Linked DNA regions of Drosophila melanogaster. The protein of the gene in region 4 interacts with the protein of the main gene of each other region in a pairwise test. Each region holds a gene or a part of one and is shown on either strand. Other genes may lie near its edges.

Evidence for each region.
Region 1: the proteins of CG9917 (region 4) and CROT interact in a two-hybrid assay, tested with the Drosophila melanogaster proteins (one large-scale study listed by BioGRID).
Region 2: the proteins of CG9917 (region 4) and CG15177 interact in a two-hybrid assay, tested with the Drosophila melanogaster proteins (one large-scale study listed by BioGRID).
Region 3: the proteins of CG9917 (region 4) and for interact in a two-hybrid assay, tested with the Drosophila melanogaster proteins (one large-scale study listed by BioGRID).

What each region holds. Positions count from the first base shown.
Region 1 is NT_033777.3:27,702,864-27,708,467, forward strand, and holds CROT (carnitine O-octanoyltransferase), read right to left. Parts: upstream 3,889-5,604; 5' UTR 3,692-3,888; intron 3,639-3,691; exon of another isoform or gene 3,202-3,638; intron 3,042-3,201; exon of another isoform or gene 2,989-3,041; 5' UTR 2,979-2,988; coding exon 2,601-2,978; intron 2,525-2,600; coding exon 1,727-2,524; intron 1,658-1,726; coding exon 1,527-1,657; intron 1,467-1,526; coding exon 1,050-1,466; intron 994-1,049; coding exon 861-993; 3' UTR 516-860; downstream 1-515. Other genes in the region: btz (barentsz), read left to right, coding at 1-70; CG12877 (uncharacterized protein), read left to right, coding at 4,347-4,455, 4,514-5,604.
Region 2 is NT_033777.3:6,627,699-6,630,938, forward strand, and holds CG15177 (uncharacterized protein), read right to left. Parts: upstream 1,624-3,240; 5' UTR 1,493-1,623; coding exon 1,133-1,492; intron 1,078-1,132; coding exon 967-1,077; intron 917-966; coding exon 710-916; 3' UTR 506-709; downstream 1-505. Other genes in the region: sowi (solwind), read right to left, coding at 1-55; sunz (sungrazer), read left to right, coding at 2,547-2,900, 2,956-3,063, 3,122-3,240.
Region 3 is NT_033779.5:3,653,902-3,658,869, forward strand, and holds the start of for (foraging), read right to left. Parts: upstream 3,053-4,968; 5' UTR 2,821-3,052; exon of another isoform or gene 2,807-2,820; intron 1,685-2,806; 5' UTR 1,369-1,684; intron 1-1,368.
Region 4 is NC_004354.4:16,320,898-16,325,250, forward strand, and holds CG9917 (uncharacterized protein), read right to left. Parts: upstream 2,335-4,353; 5' UTR 2,057-2,334; coding exon 1,151-2,056; 3' UTR 534-1,150; downstream 1-533. Other genes in the region: CG32579 (uncharacterized protein), read left to right, coding at 2,571-2,800, 2,877-3,032, 3,182-3,312, 3,552-3,704, 3,759-4,168.

The DNA.
Region 1 (5,604 bases), on a different chromosome or scaffold from region 4:
AGAGGCGGCAGCCACTCCACCGGCTGCCGAGCAGAACCTTCAGCCAGTTCCGGCCACTGGGCAGGAATGAGTGCAGGCGTACGCCGGCTTGCCGCCACAGCAGCAGCAGAGACGAGGCCAACGGATAGCGCCGCCGCCCTCCTCCGGCTACTCAATGCTGCAGCCGCACGCTGGCTACTATCGACCTCCGCCCCCGCCGCACTAGTGCGGACAGCCCAGCTCCTAACTCAACTCATACGATTTTTTTTCCCCCATTCTGTCCTTGGGTCTGCGACTCAAAAAGTACTGCATAAATAAAGAAACGCAGTGAGAACCACTTGTAATTAGCATTTAGCTCCCAGATAATCGAAATTACTAACGAAAAGTTTTCGTATATAGACGATTATATATATATATATTGTAATCCGGCGCAAGCTCCAATTAATTTGTACGTAGTATCTAGGGCCGGCTAACGTATTGAAGCGGCTGGGCGCTTAGCTTATTTAGCCGCATTTTAGAATTGAAACACAAGAATTACCGAGAGAAATGTATTTGCAAAAACTAATCGATCATTGAATTTAAATAAACGTTTAACACGAAGTTACAAATGCTGCACACCCTTTCTGTCAAACTACAAACTACCAACGAAGTCTGCGTTTTCACTTAGTTTCCGGTGAAAGGTGGGTTGAACTAGGGATCCAATTTCAAATAAAAAATATTTAAATTCGACTGTTCGTTAAAATCTAGGTAATTGTGCTAATTGAAACAAAATGGAAAGAAAAACCAAAAATCTACTTTCTGATTGGAACTAAAAATGAGAACTGAATTTCAATGACGACATAAAGTAAGATTAGATCTTTTCTTAATACTAGATGAGCTTTTCATAGCTTGGATTCCTTGGCCAATTGTTCCAGGAGAACGCTGATGCGGCGGAATGAGTCCTTGAAAATGTCGTTGAACTTGCGAGCGCTTGTCTTTAGGCTATCCCGATAGGCGGTGGTATTAATGAACACACTAGAATGTACGAAATTAAAGAACAATTCAAGATAATGGAGGAGTGTCTAGCTTACGCTTCCGAGGTGATGGAGTAAAAGACGCCATAGCCATCGAAGACCATGGGCGCCACGAAACCAACGTTGGCCGTGAAGCCCAGCGTGCTGGACGAGAGCACAAAGTTACCTCCTCCGCCGCTCTTGGTGTACATCGGATCGTCGTAGAAGGCGGGAATGTCCATTTTGCTTTCATACGCCGCGCACCACAGGCCAAACAAGTGCCTATCGATGCCGTGTCCCTTGCGCGCCTCGTTCATGAAGTGCTTGTGCTCATCGACTGCCCTACGGAACGCCCTGGCCAGTGACATATCGCCAACCTGCTTGTTGGATGACGCCCTCAGGAATTCAGCCACAGCGGAAGTGCATGATCGCAGGGTCTCTGTTCGTCCATTGTAGTACTGTCGCATCAGAGCAGTCTCATATGTGGGAGCAATTCTGTTGGATATCCATGGAGTGTTGTTAGTGCTGTTTTTTTTAGTCCAGAGGTGAACTCACTCTTTATGCATTTGGTAGTAGGCCCACTGCATGACCACCTGAACAAAGGAGTCTGGATGCAGTCGATGGGTTTTCATAAAGTCCTTGCCGTAGTCATCGAACGCAGTGAAGGTCACAGTAACGTCAATACCCTAAGGATACCACATACAAAAGGATTAACTAGTTCAATAACAGGTTTCGGAAAAAGGCGTTTTGCCTACCCTGTCATCAATATCCTTCTGCACGCGCTTGATCTCGTTCTTGAGCGTATCATCCAGCTGGAAGTGCAGCTCCTTGACCTCCAAAACATTGCCTTTTTCGGCCTCTGCCCAGTCTGGCTCTGGCACCTCCAGGAAGCTCAGTTGCATGAATGTGGCGTAACTTATGCTGACCGTGCCATCGTAGCAGCTGTGCTCACCCGTCCAGTTGCAGCGTCCGTTGCGGAAGGCGATGATGCTGCTGCTGCGGTCTGCCCAGCGGGAATGGAGATCACCGTAGAGACCCAGCTGGCAGGACTCCTCGTAGTCCTTGGGCGATTGCTCGTACCAGCAGATCTCCATACATGCGCTCTCCACCAGAAGCAGCGTCTCCTTGTTTGCAACTGAGATTTCCCTCAAACGGTTGCGGTTGCGTGCCCACGTGGAGCGTTCGTCATGGCTCAGGGTGGGCACACAATCGCCCAACGGCTCGTAGTCGAGGATGCTGCGCACTCTTTGCAGGGCCACGAGGATTTCGGGAGCCGATAGGATAGTGTCGTCCTCGTGCACACAATCGAAGATGAACTGACGTCCCTTGCCGGAAATAAGCATGTGACTCGGCGTTTTGCCCTCATCCTTGGTGAGAAAATGCTTCTCTATATGATCCTGCTCCTCGCCTGGCACACGGCACGTGGAGAAGAAGTGCTTGTACAGCGCGGAGGAGTACTTTATTTTACCGCCGTTCGAGGAGAGCGGTTTGATGCTGGACTTTCTAGTCAGATCCCAAAACTCCAGCGAGTGGTGAATGTGGCGCGCCAGACTCTTCGAAAATTATACAGTCAATTAGGCAATCTTAAACTTTGTGTTCTTATAGAGCTTGGGGTGTGGGTCCACTCACCTTCAGCATGTACTCCGGTGTCTCCGGCACGCCCACCATTTCCAATTGCGAGGGCATGACCATGAGCTGGTAGGGCAGCAGCGGCATCCGAATCAGGTGATATCCGTAGTCCTCCCACCAGGTGCCCAGCCAGTTCCTCATGCCGGCCGCCCGCTTCTTGAGCTGTTCGTGCAGCTGGGCTCCCACTCCGTTTTGGAACTCATCAATAGTCTTGCGGGCCTGGGCCAACTCCTCCTTGGTCCCGAATGGCTGGATGCAGCTGTAGTAGCGCTCCATGGTGTCCCTAAGCTCCGGCAGCGGGAGCGAAGGTAAGGTCTCGTCGAAGTCGAAGGTGTTCTTATCATCCTTGCTCATAAAATATAGACTAGCCCGGTCCATGGTGGTTTAGCTGCGGGGGACACGTTGGAATCGTTGATATCAGTCTGCGCGTGTGGTGGTTTTCTATAGGCCTAAGTCAGATTAGTACAATAATCATATCGGGAATCGCTTTTACGTTCGTCAGGTCCAAAGTTCACCCAATACATTACTGAGTACATTCACATCGGAAATAAATTGATCTCATCTTATAGGTTAAACATTAAAATGGTGTGCAAATTAATACCACACAACTAAGAACACTTAATGTGCAACTAAGCGGATTATGCGTCAAGTTGAACGTAATCTTTCTTGGACTGCAGCTAGACGACTATCTTCACTAATCTCCTCAAGCTGGACAAAGTCCGGATTGGGGAGCTTTATAAATATTTATACTCCCGGCGCACTGGTGAAATCATAGGCGAATTTCTAGCCCACTGACCTTTGTACTCGATGGGGAATTCACTTTTGCCGGAGACAACTGAAGCGCCAGACTGCCGTTATACGACTGAATCCATAGGTTGGTTCCATATCACAGCAAACCTTGCCGGAGGGGGAGCACTTGAATTATCGCACCGTGGGATCCGCCACCCGCGTCCACTGACTCAGTGCGATAATATATCACCCTAATCATTGCTATTGCAGACAGTCGGCCACCGATAATGGCCGGTTTCATTTGAATTTCTATATGAATTTCTTTTTTAATAACATATTCCAGCAGACACACCCACACAAACCTTCGATGAGGCGGCAGTTGAATGTCGCGCCCGAACTTCAGTTTGCGATGCACTCGATCGAAATTAAAACGGTTCCGCAGCTATCAAGTTCATTAGGCTAGATAAGCAAACAATTTTATAGGTTAAACAATTATTTTTATTATTATACTGCTGCGTTTTTGTTTACAAGCGGCGAAGACCCTATAGGAAATTGGCACAGCAAACAGCTGTTTGCAGGAGTTGCCAGACTTTTTACACCATTTGTTTATACCGTTAGTCACCACATTCTTATTACGTACATCTTATTCTTATTAACATCGCATAGCATTGTACATCGTACCGCAAGATATAATCCTCCCGGATTGATGCAATCAACTGCCATAAACGTACATTGTAACCGTTAACAAAATGCGAATATTGTTTACAATTATTAATTAAATAGGTCATTCAATGTTTTGTAAATATTTAAAACTTATTTAAATTTATTTAATTTAATTCCTTAGCATCCATTCATAGCATCCATGCTGACGCCTATCTGGCAACGCCGCCAGCAGCTGAAACAGCTGACATCTGTCGAAATGAGTGAAAGAGACAGGCAGAAAGAATAGAAAGAAATTTGGGACGCTTGTTTTCTCAAGCGGCTTTATTAAATTTCTAATCCCAGCAAGAGGTGGAAATGCTGCCATCCACGGGTCTCTTTAAGGGCTTCTTGTGCCCTTACTTTGACGGCCAGGATGCGGCGTCCTGCAAGCGCCCCTTTTGCCACTTTAAGCATGCTCGCAAAGGTGAGTGAATTACGTCCAGTTAATTTCGCAACAAATTCTATCCACTCTCGGTTTACAGACGAATTGGAGGCCGCTCCACCTGCAGAACCTTCCCCCGTGCCCAAGTACAAGCCGGCACCCAAGTTGCTCTCCCTTCCACTGCCCCAGATCACGCTATGTGCGCCCCGGAAGAAGTCCAATCTGGAGTACCACCCGGAGAAGCCGGCTCTTGACGCATCGCCGGCTAAGAAGAAGCAGGAGGCGTCCGTGGACAGTGCTCCCAAATATGTGCCCGGCCAGCCATCTGTTACAAATGGCGAAGAATATGACGATTGGCAGGCGGTACTCGAAAAGGAAATTGATGAGCAGATGCAGGTGGAGATTGAGGAGCAAGTCCAGAATAACGACGAAGAACAGAAGATAGATACGGTAGCTGAAAACGAGGAGGACCAGGAGAATACGCAACTGACGGATGCTAGGGATAGCCACGAAAAGGATCGAAAGCCCAGCAAGGAGCGGGAAAGGGATATAGAAAAGAAGAAGATCAGAGAGCTGAAAAGGGAAAAGATCAAAGACAGGGATCGGGACCGGGACCGGGACCGGGAAAAAGACAAAGAGAAGAGCAAGGAAAGGGACAGAGAGAAGGAAAAAAATGATAGGGATAAGCGAAAGTCCTCCCACAGCGACAAGGAGCGCTCCAAGGAGCGAAATACTTCAAGCTCAAGTTCCTCTAAGCACAAGTCTTCATCTAGCTCCTCTTCCAGCAAAAAGTCATCCAGCAGCGATAAGCACCGCGACGACAAAAGTTCCAGTAGCAGGCACAAGAGCAGTTCTTCATCATCCTCCTCGAAGAGCCATCATCACAAATCTAGTTCCTCGAGTTCACGGTCCAAAACTAAGAGGAGCTCGTCTTCCAGCAAAAGCGCTGGCACTTCAAAGAGCGAACCGGAGGCGGATAAGGATACTGAAGCAGCTGTACTGACACCAGCAGAACCTATGGATGATCTGGATGACATGGACTTTGATTTTGAAGCAGACACCTCGGAAGGAGAAATTGTACGCCAGTGTGAAATGATTTTTGACGAGATGGAAAAAAAATTTGCGCAGATGCACAAGGACGAAGGCGGCAATGCCAACCCGGAGAGTTCTCGCAAGCGCAAAGCTCCTTCT
Region 2 (3,240 bases), on a different chromosome or scaffold from region 4:
GCGCTGCAAACCGACTGTTCTCCATGCTATCTATGGTGGCGTCTAGGTTTTCCATAACTAAATTCTTTTTAATGTTTTTTATTTCCTTGTAAAGTTTTTTTTGTTATTTTTTTCCTTATTTTGAAACTTTTTTTTTGTGTGTGTTTTCTTTTTCTAATTTTTTTTTTTTTTTGTGATTTTTGTGTTATGTTCGGGTTGGCAGATGGATTTTGAATAACAATGTTTAAAAACTATTTCGTATAAGTTCAAAGGCTCCTGCGTCGCATTTTTTCGTTTTTGGCTATCGGAATTATATAAGTATCCAAAACGGCTCATAGCGCCGTTACCCATACAGTATTCTTTAAAGTGTGCATATCCACTTGATCAGAGCCCCGTGCAGAATGTGAACAGAGATTTTGGAGAGCTTATGATGCATACGCAGTGTCTGCTAGTTCACATAAAGAGTCGCCCACTCTATCGCCTTATATAAACCAAGTTAACACAAGAACCAATCGCAAGTCCTTTTAAGACAGCTCACGCGAAACATTTTGCTTTATTTTCAAAGTGTTGGTGGAAATTTGATATATCATGCTTATAAAAATGATTAATTTGAAATCATACAAAAATTTTGATCAACTACTTTGGCGGCATCCTTTTGGTCCTCATTCATTGTCGTTTGTCGTTCGATTATTATCACAGTGGGATAATCAAGCTTAATCAAACGACAAGCCTATTTTGCGTCCGGATTACAATAATTGAGCATGGAGTCCATGTTGATAACATGGGCCATAAGATCCCTTTCTTCGTTCGATGGAAATAGCCAGCCCAAGAACTCAACCAAAACGGGTTGTTGTGAAACAACCGAGGAGTAGTCCTCAAACGAAATGACTCCATCCTTGTCTACATCAAACTTCTTCATAATAAATTCAGTCATGTCCTGTGAGGAGTAAATTTATTAAATTATTCTAAATTGATAAGCAAGCTTACCGCTCTGAGCTCAATTAGTTCATCTTCGTCGTCGCCTTCGTGGAAGAATTTCTCGCATGCCACGCCCACCTGCTCGCGATCGATAACTCCGGTGTTCTTGGTGTCATAAACCTAATAAAGAACCCTATTAGAGCCTTCTAGAAATGCTTAACAATCCATTACCCACTTCAAAGGCAAACTTCATACGGCGCTCCAGATCCTCTGTGGTGTACAGCTCAAAGAGATCAACCCAGGCACGGGGACTCACGTACTTGGTATCCTTGGTGATGGCCAGAAGGGAGCGTTCAATCACCTGAACATTGGCCACGTTGAAGAGCACCAAGTAGATCTGGTAGAACTGATTCTTCTTCATCTGTTTGGCGCCAGGTCCGTTGAACCTGACGAACTTGTAGTAAACGCAAAGCAAACAGGTGATGTCCAAGGTGGACATCTTCGAGGTTGCAGCGATCTCCTTAATCAATCCACCGTACAGGGCCGAGAACTTGCTGTTCTCGGTGCTATCGACAGTGGAGTCTAGGTTTTCCATGGTTCAGGGAAGCTCACGGTGATTTACTCTTTACTTTGATTTACTACTGGATATATGATATTGTTTGATTATCGATTAAGGAGTTACAATGATTTAATGGATATGTCTAGTGCAGCTGGCATATGTTTCCTTCGCCTGCTTTTCTGGATTTCAAAAATACAAAATATATGGTTGCCCTCTTTAAGCGTTTTATGAGAATTAAAATGTTTCCAATTTCGCTTCCGCGCCATTTGTCTTGCTTAACAAATTTATGCCGTAAGTCTCTTCCAAACACCGTACGTAAAATATATCAATCAAAAGTCCATACCAAAATCCAGCCCAACTTGCCTGTAAATCCGCCAACACTTGGCGATGTCAACTGTGGAGACATTAAGGAGCGTGAATCCTTGCCGCCCTCTCTCCTTCATCATCCACTCTTATTTTATTGTTATTATGCCGTGTCGAGCTGCTCAGCCGCCTCCTCATTTTTTTTGGTATTTCGGTGGGCGTGGCACGTGTGAGTGTGTGCTTGCGTGAGTGTGTTTCGAAGGGGGCATACAATTATACAACAAAGGGAAGGAGATTCCGAACATTTGTTACCCCAAACAAAATGGCTACACAGCCATTTCCGACGAATTTCCACATGGAAGGCTTTACACCCATCTCAGCGCTTTTGTTTGGATTATTATATTCGCGTTTCTCATGCGCACAGCTTTCAGCTTTTTTCTCAGCCTTTGTGTGTTTCATCAGGCGGGTTTGTTTCAAATATTTATTCGAAATGGGGGACAGATGTAGTCCATGTAGCGTGGCTGATGTATTTTTTATGTCGCGGCGTTGTTTTATCGCTTTTAAATTGCGCCAGTTACATTCCCGGCGAATCCTTAGGCTGCGGCTGCGACTTACCCAATCTATTTGCAATTTGTCTTGCATAACCCTCACCCTTTTAAGCAGGCCAGAGCCTCATAAGTTAGGCATTTTCATCACACACCCGAAACACACGCCCCATTACACAGTACTCTCTTAAAAAACATTTTAAATAATAATTACTTGTTTACCATTGCCATTAAAAAACACAATGAACCGCATCGACCTTACCCTGGACGACATGGCCAACAACAAGTTCCTCACCATGTACAGTACTTTGATCAAGAGCTTCGCTGCCTCCACGGAGTTTTCCACCAACGAAGTGGTCAGCTTGCTGATCGTGTTTTACAAGTACGCCCTGAACAACAGGTCCCGCATGATGTCCACCAGCCAGCTGTACAATCTATTCCTCGTCAGCTTTGGGATCTTCGACGTGACCATCATCGACCGGATTTCGATGAATATCACGCAGGATGGCCGATCAGTCTCTCCAGAAGCCTGGATGCGGCTGTTCTGTGTGTTCTTCAACGGAAGTCTGCAGGAGCGAATGAAGTTCGCATTTGAGGTGGTTGCTCCGAAATCGTGGCTACTCCTTTATTAAATTTCCCCATGGACTACAGGTTTATACAAGCGGTGGTGCTGTGGTTCTGAATCGCGAGGTGGTCGGCGTGGCCATTGAACAATTCTTCACTGGCGATGACGACGACGAGGTCAACGAATTGCGAGCGGTGAGTGTACTGACATTATTGACAATTATGCTTGCATTTCAGCACCGTTTCCGAGCAGGACATGTGCGAGTTCATATTCGGAAAATTCGACACTGACAAGGATGGGGTGATAGCGTTTGAAGAGTACGCCGAAATTGTACAGAATCAGCCTGGATTGCTCGAGTTTTTGGGTAAAAT
Region 3 (4,968 bases), on a different chromosome or scaffold from region 4:
GTAGCAAAAATAACTCCGAATTATGGCAGAACTTAAAAAGAGTTCTTAGATATTTGAAGGGCACTATCGATATGAAATTGATTTTTAAAAAGAACTTGGCATTTGAAAATAAAATTATTGGTTATGTGGATTCTGATTGGGCTGGTAGTGAAATTGATAGAAAAAGTACAACAGGGTATTTATTCAAAATGTTTGATTTTAATCTCATTTGTTGGAATACAAAGAGACAGAACTCAGTAGCAGCCTCATCAACTGAAGCTGAGTATATGGCCCTATTTGAAGCCGTGAGAGAAGCTCTATGGCTTAAATTTTTATTAACTAGTATTAACATTAAACTAGAAAACCCCATTAAAATTTACGAAGACAATCAAGGCTGTATTAGCATAGCAAACAATCCCTCATGTCATAAACGAGCTAAACATATTGATATTAAATATCATTTTGCCAGAGAGCAAGTTCAGAATAATGTGATTTGTCTTGAGTATATTCCTACAGAGAATCAACTGGCTGACATATTTACAAAACCGTTGCCTGCTGCGAGATTTGTGGAGTTACGAGACAAATTGGGTTTGCTGCAAGACGACCAATCGAATGCTGAATGAAATTTTTATATATATTTTTCAAATTTAAATTCCTGTAAACATATTTTGTTACAATGATCTGATCGGGTTTTTCTGGGTTTTCCCCGTATCCTCGCAGCAAATGCTGGATCAGTTAACACTTCCCAGAATGCACACCACCCACATTTGATAGTTACTAATGAATATTATTGTTATGTTTTTAATTATAGACGTTATTTTTGAGGGGGCGTGTTGGAATATACTATTCAACCTACAAAAATAACGTTAAACAACACTACTTTATATTTGATATGAATGGCCACACCTTTTATGCCATAAAACATATTGTAAGAGAATACCACTCTTTTTATTCCTTCTTTCCTTCTTGTACGTTTTTTGCTGTGAGTAGGTCGTGGTGCTGGTGTTGCAGTTGAAATAACTTAAAATATAAATCATAAAACTCAAACATAAACTTGACTATTTATTTATTTATTAAGAAAGGAAATATAAATTATAAATTACAACAATCACTTTCGGCTCTAAGGCGGAGAAAAGGGCTTAAAGACCCTGAGCCTTAATTGTTTATTCAAAGCACGGACCAGAAAAAGACAGCACTGGAGCAGTCGAAAGAGATGGGTATATAGACAAAAGGGCGCCTTGGCGAAAAAAAAAATTATTCAAAGGCCGAACGATTGTGCAATCACAAAGTTCGTAGGCGGCATAAATCCATAAATAAACAATAAGTATGAATAAATAAGTTGCTGTTCGACAACAGCGAACAGTAATTGCATATTAAAATGGAGCTTACATGTTGGACGAAAAGTGAAGAAATTCCAGGGTCGATGTAAATGTTATGGTTCCAGTCGCAGAGAATCGCTCTCTTTTCTTCTTGTTGTTGCGATCAGCCGGCTTTTGCGAAGAAAGTTTCTTCGTTTCCACTTGTTGATTTGTGATCGGCTGTCTCGCTCGCGCACTCTTCAGTTTCCTCGTTAATTCACAGGAAGCACAGAATTAAGGCCGAAAATATATTTATAAATGAAATGCAGGCGGCACACGAAACTTCGCCATCAATTTAGACGGCCTGCACTTTTGTTTTCTCGAGTCTTTCCACTTGCGTTGCGTTTCTATGAAATTGGGCATTAAAATTTAAATGCTATTAGCCACAGAACACGAACACGAAAGATTGGGAAATGAAATGAAGGAGAGAGAGTGAGAGAGAGTTCTCTCACTCGTCGCTGTTATTGTTATCACCTGAGTCGAATACAGTGGGACCCCCACTTGAAGATGCAAACAAGACTGAGCTTTTACCAATAGTATTCAATAGTTCACTGATATCGATTAAATAATTTTAAAACTTTTGATCAACATTGCTGATTAACGCTTATTGGATTTAAGAACATTCGATTTGTTAATACTTGTGATCTGGCTTAATATGATAATTTAAGTCGAGCCCCACTGTACTCTTTCTCGCGGATTTTATCGCTCACTCTTTTTGTTTTCAGTTCACTCTCTCTCGCTCCGCATAGTTTGACTTGTTGTTGTTTCTGCCAGCGTAGCGTAGTTAACTTGAGCGGCAGCAACAACAACATCAGCCATACTTGTTGCTAAAAATAGTAGCGGCGGCGAGACAGAAACAGAAAACAGAAAAACAGCGCGGCAGAATAAAATATGAAAAGGCGCACAAATTGGAAAAAATTGTACATGACGAGCAACAAAAACAAGCAGCAAGTAACAAAAAGGAGGAGGAGTAGTTACAACAACAACTGAGCTTCTGTTGAAATATATCAGAGAAAAGAAAGGCAAAGAGGCAGATCGGCGTAGAAAGGAAATGCGACGCAAAACTGCAGTCAAAGAATTAGTTGGAATGATGGACTGAAAAGTGTCAAGTTTAGCACGGAAAATTCGTCAGCTGAAGTGCGAAAGAGACAGAGCGAACGAGCAGCTAACAAGTGATTTTCCATGAAATTAATTGCAGACTGCATTTGAATTAATAATTTTCCACTTTGAAATCACAAACTAAAAGAGAGCCGCTCTCTCTTCCACTCTCTTCGCTTAATGCACCAAAACTGCATTCACAATTCACGTTTTACTAATATTTAGTCAACTTTAACCACTGCCTTTGCTTTAATTGCTTTTTAAGGCAAATAGTTGCACATATGGAAAACGCTAGTTGTTGTTTTATTTTAGAATTCAGAATTGAGCACAAATGCTAGATCGTACGACTAGCGAAAGCAGCAACAACTAACCAAGTGGCACGCACACACAAGCACAAGTCGATGAAAAACCACCGAACTAAATGGCGATGTGGATTATTCTGATAAACGCCAATGCCATATATATATATATTTTTTTTCTTTTATTAAGAACTTGTGCCAAAATTTGCAGGAAAACCACGCGTTGCATTGATTCTTATAAAAATGCCGCTAAAGTCAATTCCAAGCACGATCGCGACAAATGACAACCGCACAGCACGAGAAATTCCAACAGACTGAAAATGAAACAAACAACTTACTCGCTACCACTACTCGAATATTATGAAATAAAGAGCACATTAGCATTTTTTCTCTTAATTTTTAAAAAATTATTTTCTCTTCTGATGCAATGTTATGAATTAGCGTTGAGATAGAAAAAAAAAATTTAAAACAATATTATGCTCAATCCTTTCTACAAATTAATTACTTTAATCAAATAACAAAATATTCATATTAATAAAAGTGTACTTTGTTTGTTAACGTAAATATACTATGTGAAAGGAGTAGATTTAGTAGAGTAGTAGAATTTATAATATTTTCCCTGCTAGTTCTCTCAGAGATGATGTATCAGTTTGATTTTAATAATCATTCCGAATGAAATCATCATTGAAGTTGGTCAAGATCGGTCTTAAATTAATCTAGTATTATAAATTGCCAATGCAGGATTAACTCTGCGCCATGATTTATTCAACTTTTCTCGTATACTTTTGGAACTAACAGCACACAACGCCTATCCGTTTACGACAAATGGTGTTTGTTTTTGGAACTAATACAGCGCCATTTTTCATTTTAGTGATTTCTAACTTACGTTGTACGTTACATTTCAGATTTATTATGCATGTAAGATGTAGAATGTCATAGCAACTGGCCGTCATGTATGTAAATATGTGTATGTATAGGCATTTCAGAGCCATTTTCTGCTCATATGTAGGGGTGGAGCCTGAGAAGAGAGAAAATCCCAAAAGGGGAATAAGAAACTGGGAAATTTTACTATTTAACTCGTTTCGTAAGAGGGTATACTAGATTTGTTAAGAAGTATATAACAGGTAGAATGAATTTTCCGATCTTTTATGGTACATAAAAAGACATTTTTTGAAACATGTTGAAAATTCAAAATTTTTTAATTAAACATAAATGTTTAAGTGGAATAAGTAACATATTGTAAAAATTATTTATTAATTTTAACCGTTATTTATGTACAATTTCGTAAGGTTAGAAAAATCCAAGGATCTTTGGTCGGGAATTTCCCTCAAGAAGGCGTTGCAAACTTAAGACCACCCACCCCCAGTATTGTGCCACCCCTCCCCAACTTCGCAACCCTCTTTTCACCCCTCTGCCGCTCTCGCAGTCGACGTCGCCGGGAAGGAAGGAAAGAGATAGCAGCTGGGAGAAAGGACAAAAGGAGAAACGGGTCGGTGGAAAAGGAGGAGGAGAAAGTAGAGGAAAAGTGAGGCGGCAGCAAAAGTTGATTAGATGGATTTCGTTTGGTTTTTGTGTTTTTAATCACACACCAATTTCATTTATTAAATCTTCGCATCAGCATTTCATTTCTCGCATTCCCTATCTTTCTCTTTCCCTCCTTCTGTCTCTTTCGCTTGTGCAGTGCCTTTTTTGTTTGGCTTTGCGACGGCATTTTTGTATTTTCTGTACCGTAGTGTTTGCTCGTTTGGCCTTCTCTTTTCTCTCGCACTCCTGTTTGTTTGTTTGTTGTTTTCCCGTTCACTCATTGTCACGAGCAATTTCACTCTCTCTCCACACCCCACCACCCCCGTCTCTGCCCATCTTTTGGCCCAGGCAAAACTTTTTGCAAAATGAAATTGTTTTCGTATTAACAATTTCATTAAAATTAAATTACTTTTATTATTCCGACAGAATCAGACAAACGAAAGGAGAAAAAAGCCAGCCTCCCCTGCCGCCCCCTCACCCCTTTCAGCCATTTTGGCCCCCCATTCTACCCCCTTATTGTAAATAAGCCAAAAGCTTGGCGTCTGTTTTCTTCAGCTGTCAAACAAATTAATTGCGCTTTTAATTAATTTCGTTGGCTTTTAGAGTGGAAAGATGTGATCTTATAATATATAATATACTAAAAGCTAAATTGTTTAACAAAATTGTTACCCTTTCTTCGAAAAAACACTTATTTCTTGCAATAAAAAAAG
Region 4 (4,353 bases):
TATTAATTATTTTTATACATGTATTCATTATTTTAAATTACTTGTTTTAAATATTAACGTTTCGATAGTTCAATTGTGCGTGTCGCATTTTCTATTTTGCCATTTTAAACTATAGTTAATAACTAATAATAGTGTTTTACAGTATTAAGTCTTACAAACTTTTAAATGTAATTTGGAGAAACGATGGAAAATAAATAAATAAATATAAATAATTTTTGTTTAAATGGCACGATAAAAAATAATTGACCTAACAAGACAGCCTGTTTCAAAATTATTTTTCGATTACTTGAAATGATTGCTCACAAATAATCAGCAATTATCGGAACAATGTTTTCAAATTTGTTTTCCGCTTTTTCTCGCGCCTTTTGTTGTGGTTTTTCTGCCGCGAAATTTGAAAATGGCGTTCAAGGTGAAAACTAGTTGGTGATTCATTTCTGAAAACGTAATGAATGCAGCTGCACGGTCTCAACTACTCTGAGTACTTTTCACCACCTAATTGACCTTTAACTCCCAGTTTAAATGAACTCGTCCTTCTTTTTACATTTATCACTTTATTATTACAATAATGATACGTATATTCATTTACAAAACATATCCATTCATTGTTTTTACATATATAGCATTTCATTTCCCAAACCCATACCCGATCCACTATGAAATAGTGAGATTACCATTTGCCTCCCTCAGTGAATTTAAATGAAAGAGATTAATACAAACCCAACTCGAATCAGAACCGCAAGCCACGCCATTTCATTAAACGGAAATAAAGCATTAGATAAACGCATGACAAAGGCCAGAAGAATTTCTGATTCAGAAGTAAAACTAGAAGGAAGTATAAGCATTGTTTACAATACTACATACATACATACATCAATTGGCAATTAATTACATAAATTAGAAGCACCAAACAAAAACGATATGGCTGGCTAGCCTGGAGCAGCAGCACCTTGGCATGCTTATCCCCGAAAGCGGTTGAACTATGGACACCTGTTCCACGGCTACATGCATATTAATATAAGCGAAGCAAAAGCTTAAAAACAGTGATTATCGTGCTCTTTGATTAATCGCTTTGGAATGCCAAAGTCAAAGCGTTGAGAAGGCGTTTTACAGATTCGGATTCGAGATATATAGCGGACGCCCAGACTTAGAACTAAGAAGACTTTTGTAGAGCGAATCGCAGGATTAGCAAAAAGATGCCCACATGGGTCCACACTTGATGGAATACCCGACTCCCTCCGCTGGCGGCAGCCGCAACGAGCGGCGATTTCTGATTGTCACGGCACATCGTTTGGTTCCGAATGAAGTTGAACATGGACTCGACGAGATTCGCCGGTGTTATGTCCGAGCATTGCTCCAGTTTACGGACCACACACGCCTGCAGAGTCAGCATCTCGTCGCACTGTTTCTGACCGACCGTCAGCTTGGGCATGCTCCTGATGCGGTTGTCCTGCAGATCCGACACGTTCAGGTACTCGGAGAACGTGCTGTTCACGCACTGCTGAATGTTGTCCTTCTGGGACTCAATGCATTCGGGTCCCTTTTCGGCAATGAACAGGGCTATCTGATCGCCATCCTTGTGGCACACAAAGTTGAGCAGACTCTGGATGATCTGCTTAATGACATCCTGGCCCTCGCGCTCCTCCTGCACCAGACAGGGCACCAGTTTGGCCGTGAACGCATCCACACACTCGACGGCATTCGAACGCCGGCTGCAGTACTTGTTGAAGACCACATCCAGTTCGCCCTTGGGCGACGCTTCCTGTATCTCCTGCTGCATTGCCGTGTAGTTGACAATGCCATTGAGGCACTCGGTTAGCACCATGAATCCGGACTCGATCTCGCCGTATGCCTCGACGCCCGCCTCCTCGCCGGCCACCTCGATGCATTTGTTGCGAAATAGCTCCTTGGCGTCGTTCACGCTAAAGTTTGACTTCCTCAGCTGGTCGGGCAGCTGGGTCTGGATCTGATCCAGGTCTAGCTGGGCCATTATGCCGGCAGTGGCGAATATAACCAGCCAAATGGCGTATATCGCATGGCTTACATATGTCCTGTGCATGATGTTTGCTGTATTTTTTGCACTCCTCTTTGTCTTTTTGCTTGCCTCCTCTTCCGTTATTCTCCTTTGCTCTGGTTTTTAAGCTCTGAGATTTGCACTTTTGTTTGTGATTCTATGCGCTTCAAGCAAACATATTTGTTCGTTTTGCGAAATATGCCTATGCCTTTGGGCAATTGGAAAAAATTAATTTAATTAGGAAATCACTGGATGGAAATCCCAATTGGAGATTCTATCCCACCCGTCGGCTAGAGATGGCACTTCGTCGATGACGCTTTCGATGCAACAGCTCACTATCGGCTTTCCGCCGATAAAAGCGTACGATCGATCTATCTCTAGTTCAAATGAACAAGTTCTCGTAGAATTCAGTCTTTATTCTAATCTTCAGTGTTTTGTTTTTTTTTTTAGTCGAAAACCAGTGTCAGCAAGTTGAAGGCGAGAGTAGTTTGGAGGTCGAGGCCTTGGATATTTGTGTGTGGCTAGGGTGGCACATGTGCAATAAGGAGGCGGAGGAGACATGGCCTCCGCGGAGCAAAGAACCGAAGTGGACGCCCTTATGATGGGGCCGATCTCGAAACTAAGCATGCTGCTCACTGTGGTGTCCATTCTGTGGCGCTTCGTCTCGATTTGCATCAACTGGAGCCTGGCGTACGTGTACTGGATGGAGGAGTCCTACGGATACTGCGCCTGGACCATTGGCTCCATTCTGGTGCCCATGGTGGTCACATCGGTCATATATATACATACGTATGTGACATATCGCGATAGCGTGTACTTCCCCCGAAATCTACAGCTAAACGATAAATTTGTATTTGAATTTCAGCTTGAAGAGCGCTCATGCCGGCGAAAAACGCATCCTGGAGCGAGGGGTGTACTCAAATGCTGTGATCTCATATCTCTTCCGCGATGTCTATGTCCTAAACTATGCGTTCAAATACTCGTTGGCCAAGGAGCGGGATGACAAGCAGGCGGAGATCGAGTGAGTAATGCTAGTGTCAGTGTATAAAACTAGTTAATAGTAGCTTAATGCCCTAAATGGTAGTACTGCCGTTTAGTTTATCTTCTCTTTTCATCATAAGTGAGCACTTTAGAATGTTTATAACGAATATCTGAATTCTTATCTTACAGATATTACCAAAAACTCATGACGGAGGAGTGCAATGTTAGTTTCGTTCGTCTATTCGACTCGTTTTTGGAATCAGCACCGCAGAAAATACTACAGCTGGCAATTCTTTTGCAATCGACATTGGAGTTCACATGTAATACGATATTAATACTACATTAGTGCCATATTTCAATCTCTCTCTCTCTCTGCCTTAATTAAGATAACTAATGCATAAGTAATTTAAGCTTATAAACACCAAATTCTGACGTTCACTTTCGCAAATCAAAGTCAGTTTAGGCGTTTAGCCTAACTCATTGATTGTAGCCAACGAAAGTGAAACTCGGAATGGAAAGTCGATGGATGCCATTTACCCATTCAAATTTCTTTTCCCAGACTACCGCCACATCGCCCTGATCGTCTACTTCGGCAACATAGCGTGGTGCATCCAGGCGTACAATCACTCCAATCGCCTGGCCCAACTGGACAAACATGATATTGCGGCGAAGGGACGATTTCTGCAATTTCTCTTCCTGCTCTGCCTCACTGGTTAGTAGTAGTTAGTTAGCTGTGTTGCTTAGAATGTGTATATTAAGCTTTTAGTTATTCGCTTTTATTTCGTAGTTTCGAGAACGCTTTGCATCGCGTATGTGGCCAGTATTTTTCCCATCGAAACGCTGATCATCTGCGCGACACTGGCTTGCTTTTACGGCACCATTGTGTTCTTTGTGGACTCGCCAATGATCGCAAAATCCCGCCCCATGAACTATTCGTACTGCCTGTGCTTTGGCGTTGTCTATCTATTTATTTTTACGCCCGTCAAGGATGCACCAACCAAATATAAGTACGCCTTCTATCTCACATTCTGTTTGTTGCAAAATATCATCGCCTGCGCTTTGTACATTCCCTTGTATCTTGCCACAGCCATCATTGCCTTGTATATTGTCGGAATTGTTCTGTTAATAATCTACTACACGTACTGCCATCCAAATACTGTGCGTACTTATTTTTAAAATTCTAGCATAATTAGTAGCATTTTGTATATTTGCAATAAACGTTGTTATGCCCACTTGTGATGCGCCTTTGATTTTCAATTGGCTTAAGCTGGTTTCAGATCTAATCTAATATCTAATATGCATTGTGTTTTTATTAGAGGATATATACATACATACATACACACATATGTATATGCAAATTT